Arabidopsis thaliana: one gene and its partners. The protein of the gene in region 1 interacts with the protein of each later gene in a pairwise test. Each region holds a gene or a part of one and is shown in the gene's direction. Other genes may lie near its edges. The genes, in order: RPK2, AT4G27610, LPAT2 and AMT1;2.

Region 1 (6,431 bases):
CAAATGAATATGAGAAAGAGACGATTGCAGAGAAGGAACCATACCAGGTGGAGAACTCAAACTCAGATATTGAGGATAATGAAGAAGAAGAGAAGATGAGTGAAGTCGAGAGCGACGACGAACATGAAGAAGAACAAACAGATATGATCGAAGCGGAGGCTTTAGTAGAGAAAGAAGTAATAGAAACTGTGAAGGAGAATAAACCTGAAGACTCGAACAGTATAGTTTCACATTCTCCGAGCATTTCTTGTCGTTCGGACACTAGCAATAACAGCATTGGTTCTTTCGCATTCCCACTGTAAGTCGTTCTCTTCAAAATCTCAATTTATCGATCCATTTTTGATGATTTCTTGAGCAAGAAGAAACTTTAAAACCCTAATTTTACTTTCTTTGGAATTTATGTAACAGATTGCAAAAAGAAGATGCAGTTACCAAAACGCCGTCTATGCAAATCAAAGGAAACGTTTCCCACAAGCGAAGACCCGAGTATCAGCTGCCTCAATCGCGAATGCTACAGCCACAACAACAACTACAACCTTATTCAGAATCTAATATGCTAACTGAGTCTCAGCCGGAACCACAACCACAAAGGAAGGCATCAAAAAAATTCGAGTCTCGAACGCAATCGCTAAAAGCTTCAAGAACCTGCTGGTTCTCTTGCTTCCATTGTCCTTCAAAATGCGGTTCATTCAAGTAGAGGAGACTTTTAGCGTTTGCGTTTGAAGCGATTCCTCTTCTTATGTGTAAATTGTACGGATGAAAATAGTTGTAAACCAAGAGTGATGATCCAAACCGAGTTCTGGTTTTCAGGATTAACACCATATTTTGGTTCGATTAATTTCGGTTACCGGATGTTGTAAACCGGTTGATGGATGATATAACTCTTATGTCATGGTGATGCATACATACAAGGACCACATTTCATTATTACTTTATTTCAATACGTATCATTATTATAAGTAGTAGCTAAAAGACAGATATATTTCACTAAAAGAAAAACAAACCTTTTTTTCTTCTAATTGAAAAGGTTATAAACTCAGTCTTTTTATCCCCATAAATGTGGCTAATGTGTTGTGTACATGACAAAATTATAAATTTATATTTAAGAAAAAACATTTTAATTTGCTTTATCTTGAAGCTTCCTTTAGTTATATCCTTGAAAAGAGGCGATTCTGTCCCTTTTTCACTTTACAATTTCTCAATATTTTTGTTATAAAGAAACACATCTTTGTCACATGCATTTATGTATAGTGGCAGGCGATTTTTCTTTTAGCGTGAGATTATGAAATTTTCCTAATATAATGCATGTCCATATACATATATCTATCTGTAATAAATGTTAGCTTCAAGATCTTAGCATAACATTGGTCGATGAGAGATTGATACGTCTAGGAGAGTTGAAATATTGTTACATTTATTGTGACTCAACATATTTTATTTCATCACTTCGAATAAACAAAAAATTTAAAATAATCTGTCCTCAAATTTAGTGATAAGATAATCTTGCATCTACCTACTGTTATCAATCATGTACCTATTGCGATTTGATGTGGTGAGACTACAATGATCGATGTTAAAAACTTTTAATGTTAACTTCACTACATGATCGATAAATAATCAAAAATTGCTTCTTCCAAGTTAAAATTACACTAAAGAGTTTGTTAGCCAATAGGAAATAAGGAAAGTGGACCCACTCTCTCATTCACAGAACGATTTTTTATTTTTTTCTGCATAAATTAAATTAAAAACATTTTTAAGATCTTTTATCAAAAAAAAAAAAAAAGAGAGAGAGAAGAAAAAAACGCGTCTTCCTCAGTGACAGTGTTGAATTCTCTCATCTCTTTCTCTCTCTGCTTCATCAGTTTCTCTCACTACAAAGCTTCTCATCATCTCCCTAAATTAGGGTTAAAGGGTCGAGCTTGGGATTGTTTCGCACGGTAAAAGGAAGGATCTTTTGCTCGTCAATTGCTATATTAGCAGACCTTGCGAGGTGGGTTTAGGGTTTTGTTGTAAAAACATTTTTGGGGATAAGTTACGAAGATGACTTCTTTGCCTTCTTCAGTGATCAAATGGCGTTTTTTCCGCAGACAGATGCCTTCAGACGTTGTCTTCTCGCTCTGCTTACTCTGTTTCGCCTCCTGTCTCGCCGGAAAAATCACTGTTTTAGCTGATTCGGACAAATCCGTGTTGCTTCGGTTTAAGAAAACGGTATCGGACCCTGGTTCGATTCTAGCTAGCTGGGTCGAAGAGAGTGAAGATTACTGCTCCTGGTTTGGTGTATCTTGCGATTCGAGCTCTCGAGTCATGGCTCTTAACATTAGTGGCTCTGGAAGTTCTGAAATTAGTCGAAATCGTTTCACTTGTGGTGATATTGGTAAGTTTCCGTTGTATGGGTTTGGTGTTCGGAGGGATTGTACCGGAAATCATGGAGCTTTGGCGGGGAATTTGCCTTCTGTAATCATGAGTCTCACAGGACTTAGGGTTTTGTCTCTGCCTTTTAATTCGTTTAGTGGAGAGATTCCTGTAGGAATCTGGGGAATGGAGAAGCTTGAAGTTCTTGATCTGGAAGGGAATTTGATGACGGGGTCATTGCCGGATCAGTTTACTGGGTTACGGAATTTGCGGGTTATGAATTTGGGGTTTAACAGAGTTTCAGGTGAAATCCCTAATTCGCTGCAGAATCTGACAAAGTTGGAGATTTTGAATTTGGGTGGTAATAAGTTGAATGGAACTGTTCCTGGTTTTGTTGGGAGATTCAGAGTGTTGCATTTGCCGTTAAACTGGCTTCAAGGCTCTTTGCCTAAAGATATTGGGGATAGCTGTGGAAAGCTTGAGCATTTAGATTTGTCTGGTAATTTCTTGACTGGGAGGATTCCAGAGAGTTTGGGGAAATGTGCTGGTTTAAGGTCGTTGTTGTTGTATATGAATACGTTGGAGGAGACTATCCCTTTAGAATTTGGGAGTCTTCAGAAGCTTGAGGTTTTGGATGTTTCTAGGAACACTCTTAGTGGTCCATTACCTGTTGAACTTGGAAATTGCTCTTCGTTGTCTGTTCTCGTTCTATCAAATCTGTACAATGTGTATGAAGACATTAATAGTGTAAGAGGGGAAGCTGATCTTCCTCCAGGCGCTGATTTAACCTCGATGACCGAGGATTTCAATTTCTATCAAGGAGGAATCCCGGAGGAAATCACTAGGCTTCCGAAACTAAAGATACTTTGGGTGCCCAGAGCTACGTTAGAAGGTAGATTTCCAGGAGATTGGGGTTCATGTCAAAACTTGGAGATGGTTAATTTGGGTCAGAACTTCTTTAAAGGCGAAATTCCTGTCGGTCTTAGTAAATGCAAGAACCTTCGTCTTCTTGATTTGAGCTCGAATAGGCTTACTGGGGAGCTTCTCAAAGAGATTTCGGTCCCATGCATGAGTGTTTTTGATGTTGGTGGAAACAGCTTATCGGGTGTAATCCCTGATTTTCTCAACAATACCACAAGCCATTGTCCTCCTGTTGTTTACTTTGACAGGTTTTCTATTGAATCTTACAGCGACCCGTCGTCTGTTTATCTCTCCTTCTTTACCGAGAAGGCTCAAGTTGGAACTTCCCTGATAGATCTTGGAAGTGATGGAGGTCCGGCCGTGTTTCATAATTTTGCAGACAACAACTTCACTGGTACTCTCAAGTCTATACCACTTGCACAGGAGCGGTTGGGAAAGCGAGTCTCTTACATATTTTCTGCTGGAGGGAATCGGTTGTACGGGCAATTTCCGGGAAATCTGTTTGATAACTGCGACGAACTCAAAGCTGTTTATGTCAATGTAAGCTTCAACAAGCTCTCAGGTCGGATTCCTCAGGGACTAAACAACATGTGCACTTCTCTTAAGATTCTTGATGCCTCGGTGAATCAGATCTTCGGGCCAATCCCAACAAGTCTCGGGGATCTAGCTTCACTTGTTGCTCTTAATCTGAGCTGGAATCAGTTGCAAGGTCAGATACCGGGTAGCCTCGGGAAGAAGATGGCAGCTTTGACATATCTTTCGATTGCGAATAACAACCTCACGGGGCAAATTCCTCAGAGCTTTGGTCAGTTACATTCCTTGGATGTTCTTGATCTCTCTTCAAATCATCTATCTGGCGGTATTCCTCATGATTTCGTAAACTTGAAGAATCTCACTGTCCTGCTTCTCAACAATAACAACCTCTCTGGCCCAATCCCGTCGGGTTTTGCGACATTTGCTGTTTTCAATGTTTCCTCCAACAATCTGTCTGGTCCAGTTCCTTCAACCAATGGACTGACGAAATGCAGCACTGTTAGTGGAAACCCCTATCTTCGACCTTGCCATGTGTTTTCTCTGACAACACCGTCTTCGGATTCCCGAGACTCCACGGGTGATTCTATCACGCAGGATTACGCATCTTCGCCTGTTGAAAACGCTCCATCTCAGTCGCCAGGAAAGGGTGGATTCAACTCGCTAGAGATCGCCTCAATCGCATCAGCTTCAGCGATTGTCTCGGTACTAATTGCTCTTGTAATTCTCTTCTTCTACACAAGGAAATGGCATCCGAAATCGAAGATCATGGCCACTACAAAACGAGAAGTCACTATGTTCATGGATATCGGAGTTCCAATAACCTTTGACAACGTGGTTAGAGCCACAGGAAACTTCAACGCAAGCAATCTGATTGGAAATGGTGGATTTGGAGCGACCTACAAAGCAGAAATCTCTCAAGATGTGGTTGTCGCAATCAAACGCCTCTCGATCGGACGGTTTCAGGGAGTCCAACAGTTCCACGCAGAAATCAAAACTCTTGGTAGACTTCGACACCCGAACCTCGTGACTCTCATCGGTTACCACGCTAGCGAAACTGAGATGTTCTTGGTGTACAACTATCTCCCAGGAGGCAACCTCGAGAAATTCATCCAAGAAAGATCCACAAGAGATTGGAGAGTTCTTCATAAGATCGCTCTGGACATAGCTCGAGCACTCGCTTACCTCCACGACCAATGCGTCCCACGGGTGCTTCACCGAGATGTTAAACCGAGTAACATCCTCCTAGATGATGACTGCAATGCGTATTTATCAGATTTCGGGTTAGCGAGATTGCTTGGGACATCGGAAACGCACGCAACAACTGGTGTGGCGGGTACGTTTGGGTATGTAGCTCCCGAGTACGCAATGACATGCAGGGTATCAGACAAAGCAGATGTATACAGCTACGGAGTGGTGCTTCTAGAGCTGCTTTCGGACAAGAAAGCACTTGATCCGTCATTTGTGTCGTATGGTAATGGTTTCAACATAGTGCAATGGGCTTGTATGTTGTTGAGACAAGGAAGGGCAAAGGAGTTTTTCACAGCGGGATTGTGGGACGCAGGTCCGCATGATGATCTAGTAGAGGTTCTGCATTTAGCGGTTGTTTGTACGGTGGATTCTCTGTCGACGAGGCCGACGATGAAGCAAGTTGTAAGACGGTTGAAGCAGCTACAACCTCCGTCGTGTTAGCACCTCCCTCCGCAGGATTTGATTATTATTCTTTCTTTAAAAAAAGTTCTCTCAGTTGTAAACTTGTATGTGTACGTAGTAGTTGTTAGAAGAAGAAAGAGAGGTTGAATTTCCTATGGGTTCTCTCGAGGGTAAAAAGGACATTTGAAAGGGGAAGCCATAGGAAGGTTGATCTCTCTCAGTAAGCAGAAAACCATAAAATGAGAAAGAATTGTTTGTAGCTAATTTGTTTCTCCCACTTGTAAATTGTTTTATACTAAAGTTTTGTGGGAGTTTTTCTTTCTTTTTCGATTTTTAGTATGTTTAAACTGCCGATCCTTTTTGTTTGATTGACATTTCCATTTTGAGAAACTTGGGCTATGGGCCCAATAATATATGCGAATAAAAAAACTCGGGCTATGAGCCCAATATTAACTTAGAAGACCGACAATGCTATCAGTATAATCCCCATAAGAAAGCAATTCCACCCATTTGGGTTTGAATGGTACATCATTGGGTCTTGATTCATGATTGTCGATCTTCTTCGGTAGTGGTCTGGCTTGCTTTGGTTGAGTTGGCATCTTCATCCTTCTTGAAAGACAGCGATGTGAAAGGTTCTTCTATGTATCTAGTATCAAATAGAGCGACTCTCGCTACTACATGCTACTTCCATGAATAGTTAACGCCAAGCGTATTGCTCGATAATAAAGACGAGTATATCCATCCATTGGCTCAACATTTGTGAAACATCCGTTCGTTGAGGCTAACGGTTTCATTTGAAGAATGGAAATTAGAGCTTATAGCCATTAGTGTGTTACGAAAGATCACCGTTATCAATCATATATAGCCCCCTTCTTGGCTCACTTATCGCATTAGTTACAAAGCAGTCCTGACGATCCACAATTAGACTTAGAGAGAAAACTTAGTTCTCTTACCATGGTTTTGCTCCCTGCTTC
Region 2 (5,245 bases), on another chromosome or scaffold:
TTTGTTATTCTTACTACTGAATTTGCTTATACATAACTTCACTTCACATAGTCTCTTACTGGGGTTTGATTTTGTGGTATCTTTGAAGTGAAAAGAGATTTTGGGAGATGTTGTCAAATAGTTGAAAGAATATGGAGATGGTTCTTACATATTTGTAGCCTCTAGTATCTTGCATAATGATCTTTGTAACCCAATCAGGAACAATATTTGACTAAAGATGTCTTTGTACCCCAATCAGGATTCATACTTAAGTAGCTACTTACGTTAATGAGCTGGAAACTATGAAGGCTGTAGTATTATCCCCCAATGATGGCTTGTGTTATGGCAGAAAAGTTTTGTGTGGGTGTTCTGAGAGTTGGCTTCTTATTTTCATTTATGCAGGAACTGAGAATGGGGAAGGAAATCATGCTACAAATGAGCAAATGGCAGAGTCCAGTACTTCTCTGCCTCTTGTGACAGTTCCTGCTTCATCATATAGCAAAGAGAGTGCAGTCGTATGGGGATCTTCTCCTGACCACCTGGAAGTGCCGATGAAAGCATACCATCAACATTCGACCTGCTCAGATTCTCCTTGCGTATCTGAATCCGGCTCAGACATCTTCAGCAAGCGAGAAGTAATACAGAAACTGAGGCAACAGCTGAAGAGACGTGACGACATGATAGTTGAAATGCAGGAACAGATTCTAGAGCTGCAAAACTCGCTAAACGCCCAGATGGGACACTCTAGCCATATCCAAACACAGCTAGACGCAACAAACAGGGACCTGTTTGAATCAGAAAGAGAAGTCCAGAGACTGAGAAAGGCAATCGCTGATCACTGCGTGGGACACACAGGTAGCAATGGTTGGAGTGGCGATGTGAACAGCGAAAACAACTACGAGTCACCAGAAAATGGAATAAGGGATGGAGAAAGAATAGAGATGTTGAGAAAAGAAGTGGGTGAGCTTAAAGAAGTGATAGATGGGAAAGAGTATCTACTTAGGAGCTATAAGGAGCAGAAAACAGAGCTTTTGCAGAAGGTAAAAGAGTTGCAGCAGAGACTGGACTCGCAGCTCCCAAACATTTTGTAGGTGAAGAAGGTTAGGCATTGTGCATTCTTACCACTCTCTTTTGTTTCCCCGAGTAAAAAATATGAATCTTTGTTCAAAAATATCTCAATTTCTCCGGGGAAACTTATCAACTGACTACATTGTTTTGGGTGTCAATTATGATTTTATCCAAATTGTTTTTTTCTCTTGGTGAAGTGGATATTCGAAAGTTGCAAACTCATACAATATCGTGTCTCAAGGCTTAAATTGTAGAATTGCAGTTGAAGTTTTTTACAAGAAAGTTGGTTACTTGTTCTTAAGGAAAGAGAAAGAAGGGTTGCTAAAATTTAATTTGGCACTTATTTCAGTCAGGTTTTGATATTCATAAGGAAGAAAATCGTTAGAGAAGGAAGGACCAAATATTTAATTTTGTAGTTGTCACATAGTGAAGAAGACAAAAGAAAAATGTATCATCACATTAGCTGGTAGTGACTTAAAATAGAAAAAAAAAAATAATCAACAGAAAGTGCAAACATTTACACATGGATAAAGATGTCAAATGTTCATTCATACTCAAATTATCTATTAAATTTCATTACTAAAAAATTGAAATCGTAAAGAAGAAAAGAAAGAAGAAAAAAACATATGAGCTGAGTTTGTTAACCACCGTGAGCGTCATCCATGGGACGTGGTTGACGCGTGCGTGATTTTATTTTAATAAATGAATTAACAGTGGAAGGAAAAAACAACAACGGAGCTGTAACTGTGAGGCGCCGTCTCTCTTCAACCTCTTCCCCTCCACTTTGCTTCTCTCTCTCCTCCCCGGGGGTTTTACAGTCATATCATCGTCGGAGACTCTGCGATTCTTCACGGAATCGTATTTCTCTCTCAGCGATTTTTTTCGATTCTCGAAGCTGCAAGGACCACCCATCAAACATTGAAACTCAAGCGGGAGAAATTTTCTGGCTCGGGAGGGAAACTATGGAGCCCTAATGCCCATTTTCTGCTGTCTATGAGGTTTTTTAAAGAGTCCTTTATACTCTCCCTGTTTTTGGGTGCTTCGCTCGCTCACTGATTTTTGATTCGTCGGAAAATCTATTTTCGAGCTCGGATTTATGTAATTCCTTATTCTCCTTCTGATTGCGATTGTTGTGTTCATTAAGGGTTGTTGGGATATCGATTAACGGCCCCTATCGAAAAAAATAAGGGTTGTTATTATTTTCATTTCGCTTCATGTTCAAGGCAAGTATCTATCTCTTCTTCTTGCTTTTGTAGTTTTAGAATCTAAATCCCATGGCATCAACGTTTCGATTACTCTTTCAGGGAACTCCATTTTTCTTGCATTTGCTTTTTTTGAGGTAGAGTCTGTGCTCCTATATGATTCCATGGATTCGTCGTATACTTTCTCAACTGAGAATGTTTGACTTAGAGAATCTTCCATTTTTTTTTTTGTCTTTCTCTTTTCAGTGTTACTATCATTTTAGATCTTTTTTTTGTTTTTCCTTCTCTGGTTGACTGTGTTTGAGGTAATGCTCAAAACGTGATTCTTTGTGCTCATTATCTTTTCATATTCTAGTTTCTGGAATCTTTCTGGGTATTAAGCATTTGATGATTTTAAAATTGTATATTTGTTGATTTTATTGAGTTGACACCAGGTTTCTTGTTGACATATGCCCAATTCATTCTGATCGTTGATGATGATTGATTCTTGTATCCGTTCAATGTAGGTTATGTTTGGATGATAGATACATTTTGACTTTCTCATACAATGAGTACACGAAGAAATGGCATTTCCAAGCATCAGCGAGGTGATAAATTTTGTGGTGAAGGGCCAAACTGGATACTAATTGCAGGGGGTGCATTGTTGAGCACATTGTCCATTCGCTTTGGATACAAGCTAAAGCAGTCGCTTGATTCGAAACCTCAATCAAATGGCTCTGCTGGATTAAAACGTACTTACTTTATCGCTGTGTTGCTTAACATGTTTTATAATTTGGTTCTAGTTTTTTTCTATCACTAAATGAAAGCCTCTTGTGCAGCTAATGGAACATCTGAGAGGCAAAAATCTACAAGCTGTTGCTTACACTCTACCACATCTTCCTGTACACAAAATAATGATTTTTGTTGCTTCCGCTCCATTCCAGGTGTGACTTTGTAACTTTCTGTTTTGCCTCATACATATTTGTTCAATCTACTAAACAAACGCTATATGCTTGTTTCTTGGTCTCGCATCATGTCTTACTGGGTTTCCTTTCATGAAGTTAAAACGATGTGTGATATATAGTAAAATCTAGTTGGGAGAATGTGTAGATGTTGTTATAGAGTTCTAGCCTCTGTTATCTTACCTCATGATGTATTTGTCAACTAGGGGAATCCAATTCGAAGTTATGGAATGAGTAAAATAGTTACAAGATTTGCCACCTTGCAATAACTGGTTGAATCGAATATCTCTTGTTTCGTTGTGGCATATTACCATTAATTTGCATCAATTGGGCTGGCAACTAGGGAAGCAGGTTTTCTCCATTGATGGCTGTGTCTAGTGGCTGAATGCTAAAAACAGTTACTAGTTTTGTTATCTACCAAGACCTCGTTAAGCATAGTTACAAGTTTTGTACTATTAGATCCAGACCTGAGTTATGTTTTCTCTTTGGAAAATCTCTGAATCCTAATATTCATGTAGTCCAGAGCAAACAGTCGTGTATGGATCTTATCAGCCTTTGCTTCTTTATTTTTATAGGAACTGAGAGTGTGGAAGGAAAAGAGGTGACAAGCGAGCAAATGATATCCGCATCTGACACTTCACTGCCTCTTGTGACAGTTCCTGCTCCATCGAGCAAAGAGAATGGAGTCATGTGGGCAACTTCTCCTGATCGCCTGGAACTTCCCCCAAGACCATACAATCACAATTCAAACTGCTCAGATTCTCCTTGCGTATCTGAAACCAGCTCAGACATTTTCAGCAAACGAGAAGTAATACAGAAACTAAGGCAGCAGCTGAAGAGACGGGATGACATGATACAGGAAATGCAAGAACAGATTCTAGAGCTGCAAAACTCGTATAACGCACAGACGGCACACTCAAGCCATCTCCAGGCACAGCTAGACACACTGAACAGAGATCTGTTTGAATCAGAAAGAGAAGTTCAAAGACTGAGAAAGGCAATTGCTGATCACAGCGTGGGATGTGGCGCGGACAGCAATGGCAAGACATCTCCGGTTGGACCTTGGAATGGCGGGTTTATGGACAGCGAAAGCAATTATGAGTCACAAGAAAAGAGCCTAAGGGATGGAGAAAGAGTAGAGATGTTGAGAAAGGAAGTGAGTGAGCTTAAAGAAGTGATAGATGGGAAAGAGTATCTACTTAGAAGCTATAAGGAGCAGAAGATTGAGCTTTCGCAGAAGGTAAAAGAGTTGCAGCAGAGACTGGACTCACAGCTCCAAAACTTATTGTAGGTGGAAAGGTTAGGCATTGTGCATACTTGCGTCTCTTATTTTTTTTTTCGGTTCTTTTTCCTTTTTCGAGAAAATGAATCTTAGTATGTACTAAGAACGGTGGAGATCAAGATTTTCAGGTTCTTTCTGGCTTTCTGCTTTCGTTTTTGAATGTCTTGATTCTGTTTTTTCTTTCAACATTTGGTGTAAAGGTAAATAGATAGTTGTTGAAGAATTTACCGCGGGAATAGCTCTCTACTTTTTTTTTTTTTTTATTCTCCGTAATTGGTAACTAACCCGATAATTACAAACGCCACGTATAAGGATGTGTTCACTAGAAGAATTAGCCAATTTTAACACAAATGATAAATAGTATAAACAAATTTTAAATTTATAAATAGACGCAACATACATTATTATTTTTAAGATACAGTTAAAATAAAATTGTTAGCAATTATGCTTATTCTGAAATTTTGGGTTTGAATATAAATAAGAAATAGAGTTTTATCCTAATAAGATTTATATAAATAAACATATAAAGTCAAAGTCATACTTTATCCTCTCAGAGGCCGTCTCTCGGGTTTTGCTGGTCTTCCTTGCTCCTCTCGCTTTTGAATGGAGATGTGAGCTTTCTTCATTCAAAGAGCAAAACTATCTAATTCCATGGCGTTCTCCCTCCTCTCTCCAATTCCTACCTCTGCCTCTCTTTTTTTCACTCTCTCCGCCATTACCGCTTCTAATAATGCTTCCTCCTCCTCTCTCTCCCGTCTTTACTCTTTATATCA
Region 3 (6,291 bases), about 21 Mb from region 1:
CTTTAGAGATCGAAATAGGGTTTGAGAATTGGAAAACAGTGTGAAAATAAGCTAAAGCAGTTGCAATCTCCTCAGTTATATTCATTGCAACGTTCGATGAGATCTTCTAACAGCATCTCCCCCCTCTAGCTCTTGATATCTTATTCCTCAACTAATCGAGAAACACTTAACTTTGAAAAATAAAATGACAAAACTTGAAGACCTCACACACTCTCAGTTGATCAAAACGAAGAACACTAGCTAAGATATAAAGTCAAGCTGTCGTTGTTGAATATCCCACAAAGTCGTCCTTCCAAGAAAAAGCTCACAACAAGACTTGCGGACTAATTTCATAGTTCTTTCTACATCACCTGAAAACTAGTTAGGAAGCTAAGGCTTTCTCTGTTTTTTTTTTGTTTGTCATTGTTCCACTGGTTCTTTGCTACAATTTAGGAGACTAGAACAAAACTAAATTTTTTGTTTGGTTATACAATGCAAAAAAATATCTGCAAAATAAGTGATTTAGTCTCTAACCGAGAAAAAAGTAATTAAAAACAGAGCAATTACTAACTATAATTTCTGGTGTCATTTTGAGACTATAGTTAAAACTTACAAGCAATGTTTTACATAAATCATTTTTAAAATTATAAGTAAAAATGTTGGCGCCTCAGTATTTCAGGTTCGATTCCCATTGTTCTTTTTCAAATTGGATAATTTAGTCCACATTGACAAAAAGAAAGAAAAATCATAATATGTTTAAGGATGCGTCAAGTGTATGCATATATATTGTTGTAAAAAGAAAAAAGGTGTATGCATACGTTTCTAACATATTTTGTCTGGCAGTCAACTATTTGTTATGAATATGTACAATCACATAGAAATGATAGCATGTGGCTATGTTACGTGAATTAAGGCAAATGATCTTACGTAGGGAAAATTGTAACTAAAAACTCAACAACCCTTATTTGTTTTTTTTGTTATCTTTTCCACTTTGCTGCAAAATTTATTGGAGAATCTGAATAAAGCGGTGAGCATAGTACAGCTGAAAATAACTAGATGATGAACTTGTTCTTTAGTTTGTTTTGATTCTTCATTATATTTAAAGAAAATTTGGTTAGATAGATCAACCACTTCAACAATACTTTTGTAACTTCAAATATTTAATAACAAAAAAATTAAAAAATGTTTGAACTTTACTGAAATGAAATTTCGATATTAGAATACTAAAGAATCAAACGTGCACTTAAATATCATTTAGTTTATATTTATACAAACCATGAAAGACTCTCATACTTTACACCGCACATAAACAATCAGAACCATACCAAACCATGTGAATAGAATCACAAAGACGTCATGCTTTAATTTACAAGCAAAAAAACAAAAGGCATCGGCTAGAGAATAGCAAAAAGAGGAAGAATTGAACGGAAAAATTGAAAACATATGGAACAAAGTGGAGCACTTAAACATCCACGGTAATATTAGTATATTAGTCACCTTCAGACTAGGGCCAGACATGAACAAAGGATTCGATGTTAGTGACAAGTAGCATATCAGACTAATAAGGATATATATTAAGCGGTATGGGTAACACATTAATCCTTTCTCCAATTACATTCTCTTTAAGGTTCTAAGATCCGCCACTAGGCCATTTTATTGGTAAAAGTAAAACCATTTTGGTGGTCGTCTATGAGTGTTAAGAATTATGTAACAATTTTTTTGGATTCACCTGAAATAAATCTGTTGATTTGAAATATTTGGACGTTACATTTCCATATATAAGCTTACCATACAAACATTATAATTAATTGGAAAGTCCAGCTAGCACTTTTTACCACATGCAAAGGGAATTAATCCTAACTTAAAAAATTAGGAGTAATCACATCTTGGTAGTGTATACCGATCAATTTCCGACAGACGTTTTTTTTTTCCTTGCCCATTGATTGCATAGTTCAAAACTTCAAAGTTGGCCAATCCAACCAAGTCGAAGAGATAGGAGATGTTTTGAAGTATGAAAACAAATAGAGGGGCTAAAATCAAAATAACAAGAAAAAACGCTTCTGCCGTGTTCGAATGTGTCCTCGTGATCATCTCCGTATATAATCAATCAATCAATAAAAATCCAGAGTTACAAACACTCTTCTCAAAATTTTCCCATTAAATCGCAAAGTTAATTTTGCGATTTTTTTTCTCTTTTTTTCTGGTTGGGTTATTTATTTTCCCCTTTTAAAAAACTTCTGCAACTTGTCTTGAAATCTGGGGTAAAATATTTCTTCATTGGTTTCTGGAAATCTCGGGGAACGATTTGTTGGGTTTTCTTCTTTGTACTCTCTCCTCACATTAGCTTTTGTTGGTGGGATTTTTTGAGGATGGTGATTGCTGCAGCTGTCATCGTGCCTTTGGGCCTTCTCTTCTTCATATCTGGTCTCGCTGTCAATCTCTTTCAGGTTTGGTTTCTGATTCGTTTCTGGTGTTACTCTTTTTAGATTCCGTTGTTGTTCTACATTGTAGATCCTTTCTTCTTTTGTTTTGATTCACTGCTTTTAGGGTTTCCTTCTCCAGAAACTTTGATTCTTTCGTTTTTGTCGGTGATTGTGTCTTAATTCTGAGTGTGCATATGAGAGTATAAGCTCGAAATTGACTCGTGGAGCTCATGCACTGAGCTATAGAGTGTTGTTTGATTCTGCGATTAAGTATCACTTTCTTCAGATTTATCTTGATTTCTATGTTGATTGAATCGAGGAAGGAATCTTTTTTTCTCTCAACTTCGTTTGCTTCAGTTTTGATGTTTACTACTACATATTGTTGTTTCAGGCAGTTTGCTATGTACTCATTCGACCACTGTCTAAGAACACATACAGAAAAATTAACCGGGTGGTTGCAGAAACCTTGTGGTTGGAGCTTGTATGGATAGTTGACTGGTGGGCTGGAGTTAAGGTATCCACAAGCTTTCTCCTTTTTACTAAATGGTTGTTAAGCTTGGATTTTGTTTTATCTTATCTAACTCTATGAGTTCCTCTCAAATTTCTTGTTTCTTTTCCCTTAGATCCAAGTGTTTGCTGATAATGAGACCTTCAATCGAATGGGTAAGTTCATATGCTTATTGGCAATCAAATCAGTTTCTGATGTCTTCAAGATATAAAATTCCTATGTAAGAACGAATCTGTAACTTCATTGACTGTCCTACTATTTTTTTCTAGGCAAAGAACATGCTCTTGTCGTTTGTAATCACCGAAGTGATATTGATTGGCTTGTGGGATGGATTCTGGCTCAGGTACATAATTTCACCTCACAGTTTCATCTATCTTCCTACGTTTTTGTTTGAATGCATAAATGGAGATCAACATAATAGACTTCTTGATGAGAAAGCATGTATACTTGCAATGGGACCATGTATTGCTTCCAAGTATCTACTTAAGAAAGATTATCTTAGGTAGAAGGTGACAGTCCCTAGTGATCATCTGATGAGATATGAGAGAGTATAGCATCATCATATTTTCTCTTAACACGCTCCCTGTTATGCTGTTTACATCTTTTAATCTATTGTTTCATATTTTCTTTCCTTGCAGCGGTCAGGTTGCCTGGGAAGCGCATTAGCTGTAATGAAGAAGTCTTCCAAATTCCTTCCAGTATGTGAATATTTTAGCTTACTGCTGTGTGCTTGCTAGATTTGAGAGAAAATAGTAGTAATCTTTAATTCTATTTCTGAATCTCTTCTATAAGTTAGAAATTTGATACCTGGCTTTGCGTTTGAGAAAAAATCATTGTTTTAGGTTAATACACTTCTCCGCCTTTTTTATCTGTTACATATTCATAGTACTCATAAACAGAATTTTCACACACATACAGGTCATAGGCTGGTCAATGTGGTTCTCGGAGTATCTCTTTCTGGAAAGAAATTGGGCCAAGGATGAAAGCACTCTAAAGGTATGGGTTTATAGTATCCTTGTGCAACTCATTTAGTTTTTGCTCCTGTGTAAAATGCTTATTAGCACGTGCAGCTACCTCGTTCATGAGGGGATTAGCCTAAAAATGCAGAATCTTCATTTCCAGACCATGAGTTATGTGTGTTTGTCTAAATTTACAGTCAGGTCTTCAGCGCTTGAGCGACTTCCCTCGACCTTTCTGGTTAGCCCTTTTTGTGGAGGGAACTCGCTTTACAGAAGCCAAACTTAAAGCCGCACAAGAGTATGCAGCCTCCTCTGAATTGCCTATCCCTCGAAATGTGTTGATTCCTCGCACCAAAGTAAGTTGTAATATTTTTCTTTTGTTCATTCCTGGGGCAACTTGATATCTTCTCTGTGTCCTTTAAAAAGCAAAATGATTGCTATGATGATCCAAAATCTCAATGCATGGGTAGCCTTTATACGTTTCATTTTCATCAGATCGACTTGGTGGTTGTTATTGTGATTTCTGCCCTAATTACTAGACTTGCTTGTATTTTTGTTTCAGGGTTTCGTGTCAGCTGTTAGTAATATGCGTTCATTTGTCCCAGCAATTTATGATATGACAGTGACTATTCCAAAAACCTCTCCACCACCCACGATGCTAAGACTATTCAAAGGACAACCTTCAGTGGTAAGCAAGCAAAAATATGAATAGGTCGTATAGCAGTTGAATCTTGCACTCTTCTCACAACAAATTTCAAAGTATGCACTGGCTTGGATCACATCACCATCCAATTTACTGAAACGAACATAACTCTTTATATCACCTTTACTTTTATAATGTGTAAGAAACCGTAGGACTCATCCCATCCCAAGCCTTTTTCTTTTAAAACCTCCTGCGCCATTAACGCAAACCATTGCTGCTGGTTTCAAGGTGCATGTTCACATCAAGTGTCACTCGATGAAAGACTTACCTGAATCAGATGACGCAATTGCACAGTGGTGCAGAGATCAGTTTGTGGCTAAGGTAAAAATTATGGATGTACTGGTATTTCCACGTTTCAGTTATTGGCAATAATATATTTGGTCAAGATTTGATAGAGAAAAGCTTGGAAAAGCTTTCATTTTGGTATTCTCTCATCTCGTCTCTGTGATACAGGATGCTCTGTTAGACAAACACATAGCTGCAGACACTTTCCCCGGTCAACAAGAACAGAACATTGGCCGTCCCATAAAGTCCCTTGCGGTGAGTCTATAAAATTCATAACATTCTCTTGGTTCCATCTATAAACTCACAAATCTCTTGATCTTTTTCTCAGGTGGTTCTATCATGGGCATGCGTACTAACTCTTGGAGCAATAAAGTTCCTACACTGGGCACAACTCTTTTCTTCATGGAAAGGTATCACGATATCGGCGCTTGGTCTAGGTATCATCACTCTCTGTATGCAGATCCTGATACGCTCGTCTCAGTCAGAGCGTTCGACCCCAGCCAAAGTCGTCCCAGCCAAGCCAAAAGACAATCACCACCCAGAATCATCCTCCCAAACAGAAACGGAGAAGGAGAAGTAAAAACTGGTTCTCACAGATCCAAACATCAAACACAACAAGAAGAAGCGCGTGTCAGTTTTGTTATAAGAAACAGAAAACCAAAAAAAAAAGACATCCAAATGAAAAATCCCTTAATATTATCAACTCCGTTTTGTTCAGCTACTATATTACTACTACTACTACTACGCAGCCTATGTCTCTTAGTCGATTGATGTATAGGGTCATGATCAAATCAACGATTTAATCCCTATAGTCCCTTGGGATTTTTTTTCTCAAGTGCATAGGCCTTGTATAACTTTCTATTTTTAGATTGGAATTTGGGATTGATATTAGACATTTTCCTTTTATTATTAAACTGTTTTGTTCCTTGGTTCTCATTGCTAGTGTAGAATTTATTAGGCACAAAACATGTTATTACAAGACGTTTTAGAAGAAAAAACAGAATTTATTCATGTACATAAATTATCTGACTAGACTAATCCTACTGGGACTTAATTGTGATTAGACAAAAAAAAATTCATTTTGAGAAGAAAAAACAGAAACCCGTTCATGGAATTAACTGAGATTAGACAAATTCAACTACAGTATGACGGTGATTACAGGGAGAATATCGTAAAAGAACAGGTTTTATTTTCTTCCATTTTTGATAGAACACATTTTTTTTTTTTTAATGAGTGTATAATATAATAAACACAATTTTTATTTTAGTTTTCTCAACCCTAAAACTAAAACCCTTTCACGCCGATTCAAAAGAAAAAAAAAACCTTCACAAGTCCGGTTGCTCGCGCCGCTTTTCTCTCTGTTTTCAAACTCCGATTAAAGTCCCGACTTGTATCAATTGATAAACCCTAATTGTCTCCGTTCTTGCTGAAACA
Region 4 (4,458 bases), on another chromosome or scaffold:
GAGTCAAAAGCACACATAAATCAAATAATCGCTGGAGACAAAACCCTATGTTAATCGTATAAACGTTTGGTAAGTTTGAAGGATGAAAAGAAACGATTATCTTCCAGGAGTAGAAAAGAAAATTTTTGGAAGCTACGAGGACTAGATCTTCTTGTGTAGAATGACATAAACTATGCTAGTGAGCAACACGTCCTTCAGCATTTGAATGACCGTCAAAGTTATATTGTTTACCAGAAAAGTGTATTTAATCACGTGGTTAGCGGTTCACTTTTGCGGCAGTTTTTACCATATTTTGACTCTAGCAAATTTAGTGGCGGCAAAAAACCGGAACCGATTACTCAAACTGGAACCGACCCGAAAAATTAGATCCGAATTCGAAGATTTATCTTATTTGTCTTAAATTTCTCTACCAAAAAACCGAATTCGAATTCGACCCGAATCCGAAAATCCGGGTATTTATTCGAAAATTTGGGTATCGATTCCAAAAAAGGCCTGAAAATCTATATTCGAACCCGATTGGACCCGAACCAAAATCAAACCGATATTTTAGAATTACTCTATTGGATCCTAAACTTCTCTATCCAAAAAAACCTGTACCCGATCGGATTTTATCAGAACCTGACTCGAATGCCCATCTCGCATTATCCTGCATAGTAACAATTGGTTTTGGATCGGATCTTGCTGATAACACTCTAATTTTACCCATTTTTTCATAAATCGCATTTATTTTTACCCATTTTTTCATAAATCGCATTTTAAAAACATTTAACGTAATATAAAAACATTTTCACTGTTCATATGTCCATTCATTTTGTTTTTTTCTTTGTTGCGTGATTTCCTACTATCACTGTGATTCCGTGAAAACCTAATACGATTTTACTATTGAATCTGTTCATCTTTCCTTTGTTGCATATATATTTTTCCTGTAATCACAAAATTGAACCCTATATATAGTTTGTAGCTTTAACAGTTTATTCTCTAATACGTAGTGCAATATAAATTCTATGTGAAATCGGTACCTCAAATTACAACATATTTGTTTGATTAACTAAAAATACAAAAATAAATGGCGCTAAAAATCACACAGCATCAAATAATGCCTATTATTCAAGTCGAATTACGTATTCAGTTGTGAAGTAGTTGTAGTCAAGTTGAAAATAATTTTTATATTTAATCTAGCGTGATAATTTTATAACTATTTGAGTGATCGTCCTTGCCCCCTATATCACATTCATATAAATGATACATCATTCATGATCTATCAACTATTGACTTCATCGATACAAACGAAACGAAAAATTACATTTTTCAAATTATTTTAATTCCAAAAAAGAAATCAAATTATTTCTCCTTTGAATCGTGCCGTCAAAAAAAATAAATTATTTCTCCTTTGTAAGAACATTAACTAGTTCATATAAAATATTGAGTTGGAAAAATAGACATACAAATTCATTTAAAAGAATCATATCGTCATATGCTTGAACTTGTTCTTTAATGTCGTACTTCTATGTAGCGATGTTTAATTAATTGTTTCTCATAAACAAATGCTGACCCGATTCCTTGTCATACTAAAATAAACGATTCAAACACTAAACGAAATATTATAAGAATTTTCTTTTTTCTTTTTTTATTCGTATAACCAAAATTAATTGCACACAAAAACTGATTAAATATCTTATTAAAATAAAAAAATCTTCTTTAAAAAATTAACTTTAAATATGTTCAAAACTGAATAGAAACTAAAACAAAACTATACCAAAACAAATTTATTAATTTTATTTTAGTTTGATTACTACTGTTTAAAAAAACTTAAACCAGAGACCTAGAATTTTAAAATTCAGAAAACTTCTTTTAAAACCTCAACTAGAAGAAGAGTAAGTAGTACCGCAACTTTTTGTGATGTAACGAAATAAATATGCTTTTTTCCACTTTAAATACACCAAAGACACTCTCACCACAAGTACTCACTTAAGCAAACACGTTCCACAATCAAGTACCCTCTCTCTATCTCTCCCTCCCTCCCTCTCCACCATGGACACCGCAACCACCACATGCTCTGCCGTAGATCTATCTGCCCTCCTATCCTCTTCTTCTAACTCAACATCTTCCCTCGCCGCGGCAACCTTTTTATGTTCCCAAATTTCAAACATCTCCAACAAACTCTCCGACACAACTTATGCCGTCGACAACACGTATCTCCTCTTCTCCGCCTACCTTGTCTTTGCCATGCAGCTCGGTTTCGCTATGCTTTGTGCTGGATCAGTCCGAGCCAAGAACACTATGAACATCATGCTTACCAATGTCCTTGATGCTGCCGCTGGAGCCATCTCTTACTACCTCTTCGGATTCGCATTCGCCTTTGGTACACCTTCCAACGGATTCATCGGTCGCCACCATAGCTTCTTCGCTTTAAGCTCTTACCCTGAACGCCCCGGCTCCGACTTCAGCTTTTTCCTCTACCAATGGGCTTTTGCCATAGCCGCGGCCGGAATCACTAGCGGTTCCATCGCCGAGCGAACGCAATTCGTTGCTTACCTTATCTACTCTACTTTCTTGACCGGTTTTGTTTACCCGACAGTCTCGCACTGGTTCTGGTCAAGTGATGGATGGGCTAGCGCGTCCCGGTCTGACAACAATCTCTTGTTTGGCTCAGGTGCTATTGATTTCGCAGGTTCAGGAGTTGTTCACATGGTAGGTGGAATTGCCGGTTTATGTGGAGCGTTAGTTGAAGGACCAAGAATAGGTAGATTTGACCGGTCAGGCCGGTCCGTGGCTTTACGTGGTCACAGTGCATCCCTTGTCGTGCTTGGTACCTTCTTGTTGTGGTTTGGATGGTATGGGTTTAACCCTGGTTCCTTTTTAACCATTCTTAAAGGCTACGACAAGTCTCGGCCATATTATGGTCAATGGAGCGCTGTAGGTCGCACCGCGGTCACCACAACGCTTTCTGGCTGCACCGCTGCGTTGACTACTCTATTCAGTAAACGGCTTTTAGCAGGTCATTGGAACGTTATTGACGTATGCAACGGACTTCTAGGCGGCTTTGCAGCTATAACCTCCGGATGTGCCGTGGTGGAGCCGTGGGCTGCTATAGTATGTGGCTTTGTGGCATCATGGGTTTTAATCGGATTTAACTTGCTTGCCAAGAAACTTAAATATGATGACCCACTCGAGGCTGCTCAGCTCCACGGTGGATGTGGAGCATGGGGATTAATCTTTACCGGGCTGTTCGCAAGGAAAGAATACGTTAACGAGATTTACTCCGGTGATAGGCCTTACGGACTGTTCATGGGCGGGGGAGGAAAACTGCTCGCCGCGCAGATCGTTCAGATTATTGTGATCGTTGGGTGGGTGACGGTAACTATGGGACCGTTGTTTTATGGGTTACATAAGATGAATCTTTTGAGGATATCAGCAGAAGATGAGATGGCAGGAATGGACATGACACGTCATGGAGGATTTGCTTACGCATACAATGACGAAGACGACGTGTCGACTAAACCATGGGGTCATTTCGCTGGAAGAGTGGAGCCTACAAGCCGGAGCTCGACTCCTACACCGACCTTGACTGTTTGATACTTTGATTGGAGAATTGAGTGGTCCCAAACGAGTCAGTTTTAATGTGGTGAAGACAAGAGTTCGGGCACCAAACATGTTGGACGCATCTTTGTGTATTATTGGTCTTCTTCTTCTTCTTTTTTTTTCTCTTGGTTATCGCTCTGTTGTGGACAGATAGTGTGGAACTGTTAACAATAACATGATCAGTATGTCTTTTTAATTAAAGTGAACGTTTGGTATCAAAATTAAACATTGGAATTTGAGCGGTCTTGAGACATTTTAAATGTTAAGAAAAGAGAGGAAAAAAAAATCTTGTACGATAGCATGTTTTGTTTTGATAAAATGAACGTTAGAATGTTAATCAATAATCACCAACGGAAATTAATCAGAATTGTCGAGTTTTATTATAAACGAGTTTTTTTTTTGTGGACGAGCTTATCAAATTATCACATACTGATCATAAGAAAGTTGTCTTGGGTACTTATCGGTTATGTTATCACCACAAAACTATGTAACCTTTTTTTTTGTTGTTGTTCAAACCACATAATACGTAACCATGATTCGGGATTTGATATCATAACCTATGGTTCTAGGCTTCTAGCTAGTTCCATGGTATCCATTGGTTCAATGATTCTTTTCTGTTGATTGGTCGTCAAATTTTCTGAATAACTAATATTTTAAATATGAAAATATAAATATATTTATATTAGTATATTACTACTTTAGAAAACGGATGGTCCGGAGCCTCGTATGTACTTTATCCTTTTTCCCATTTGCCATAAATTACCGTTCAATTTTATCATTTGTCTTCTCGTCCTCTCTTTTTATCATCACCCATTTATTCACCACTAAAAGTTGATCTTATATACTACATACAAATCTGAGTAGCTCCCACCTAGA

Evidence for each region.
Region 2: the proteins of RPK2 (region 1) and AT4G27610 interact in a protein complementation assay, tested with the Arabidopsis thaliana proteins (one large-scale study listed by BioGRID).
Region 3: the proteins of RPK2 (region 1) and LPAT2 interact in a protein complementation assay, tested with the Arabidopsis thaliana proteins (one large-scale study listed by BioGRID).
Region 4: the proteins of RPK2 (region 1) and AMT1;2 interact in a protein complementation assay, tested with the Arabidopsis thaliana proteins (one large-scale study listed by BioGRID).

Annotation. Positions count from the first base shown.
Region 1 is NC_003074.8:378,686-385,116, forward strand, and holds RPK2 (receptor-like protein kinase 2), read left to right. Parts: upstream 1-1,664; 5' UTR 1,665-2,040; coding exon 2,041-5,496; 3' UTR 5,497-5,897; downstream 5,898-6,431. Other genes in the region: AT3G02125 (pinin-like protein), read left to right, coding at 1-298, 409-697.
Region 2 is NC_003075.7:13,784,884-13,790,128, reverse strand, and holds AT4G27610 (intracellular protein transporter), read left to right. Parts: upstream 1-1,613; 5' UTR 1,614-2,045; exon of another isoform or gene 2,046-2,755; 5' UTR 2,756-2,796; coding exon 2,797-2,980; intron 2,981-3,067; coding exon 3,068-3,172; intron 3,173-3,765; coding exon 3,766-4,481; 3' UTR 4,482-4,716; downstream 4,717-5,245. Other genes in the region: AT4G27620 (intracellular protein transporter), read left to right, coding at 382-1,070; NARA5 (pfkB-like carbohydrate kinase family protein), read left to right, coding at 5,124-5,245.
Region 3 is NC_003074.8:21,347,403-21,353,693, forward strand, and holds LPAT2 (lysophosphatidyl acyltransferase 2), read left to right. Parts: upstream 1-1,980; 5' UTR 1,981-2,348; coding exon 2,349-2,426; intron 2,427-2,793; coding exon 2,794-2,916; intron 2,917-3,025; coding exon 3,026-3,065; intron 3,066-3,179; coding exon 3,180-3,253; intron 3,254-3,548; coding exon 3,549-3,608; intron 3,609-3,828; coding exon 3,829-3,906; intron 3,907-4,066; coding exon 4,067-4,225; intron 4,226-4,431; coding exon 4,432-4,557; intron 4,558-4,800; coding exon 4,801-4,893; intron 4,894-5,025; coding exon 5,026-5,112; intron 5,113-5,185; coding exon 5,186-5,437; 3' UTR 5,438-5,791; downstream 5,792-6,291. UniProt on the Arabidopsis thaliana protein: Converts lysophosphatidic acid (LPA) into phosphatidic acid by incorporating acyl moiety at the 2 position. Has preference for C-18-CoA substrates compared to C-16-CoA substrates. Required for female but not male gametophyte development.
Region 4 is NC_003070.9:24,060,139-24,064,596, reverse strand, and holds AMT1;2 (ammonium transporter 1;2), read left to right. Parts: upstream 1-1,792; 5' UTR 1,793-2,031; coding exon 2,032-3,576; 3' UTR 3,577-3,957; downstream 3,958-4,458.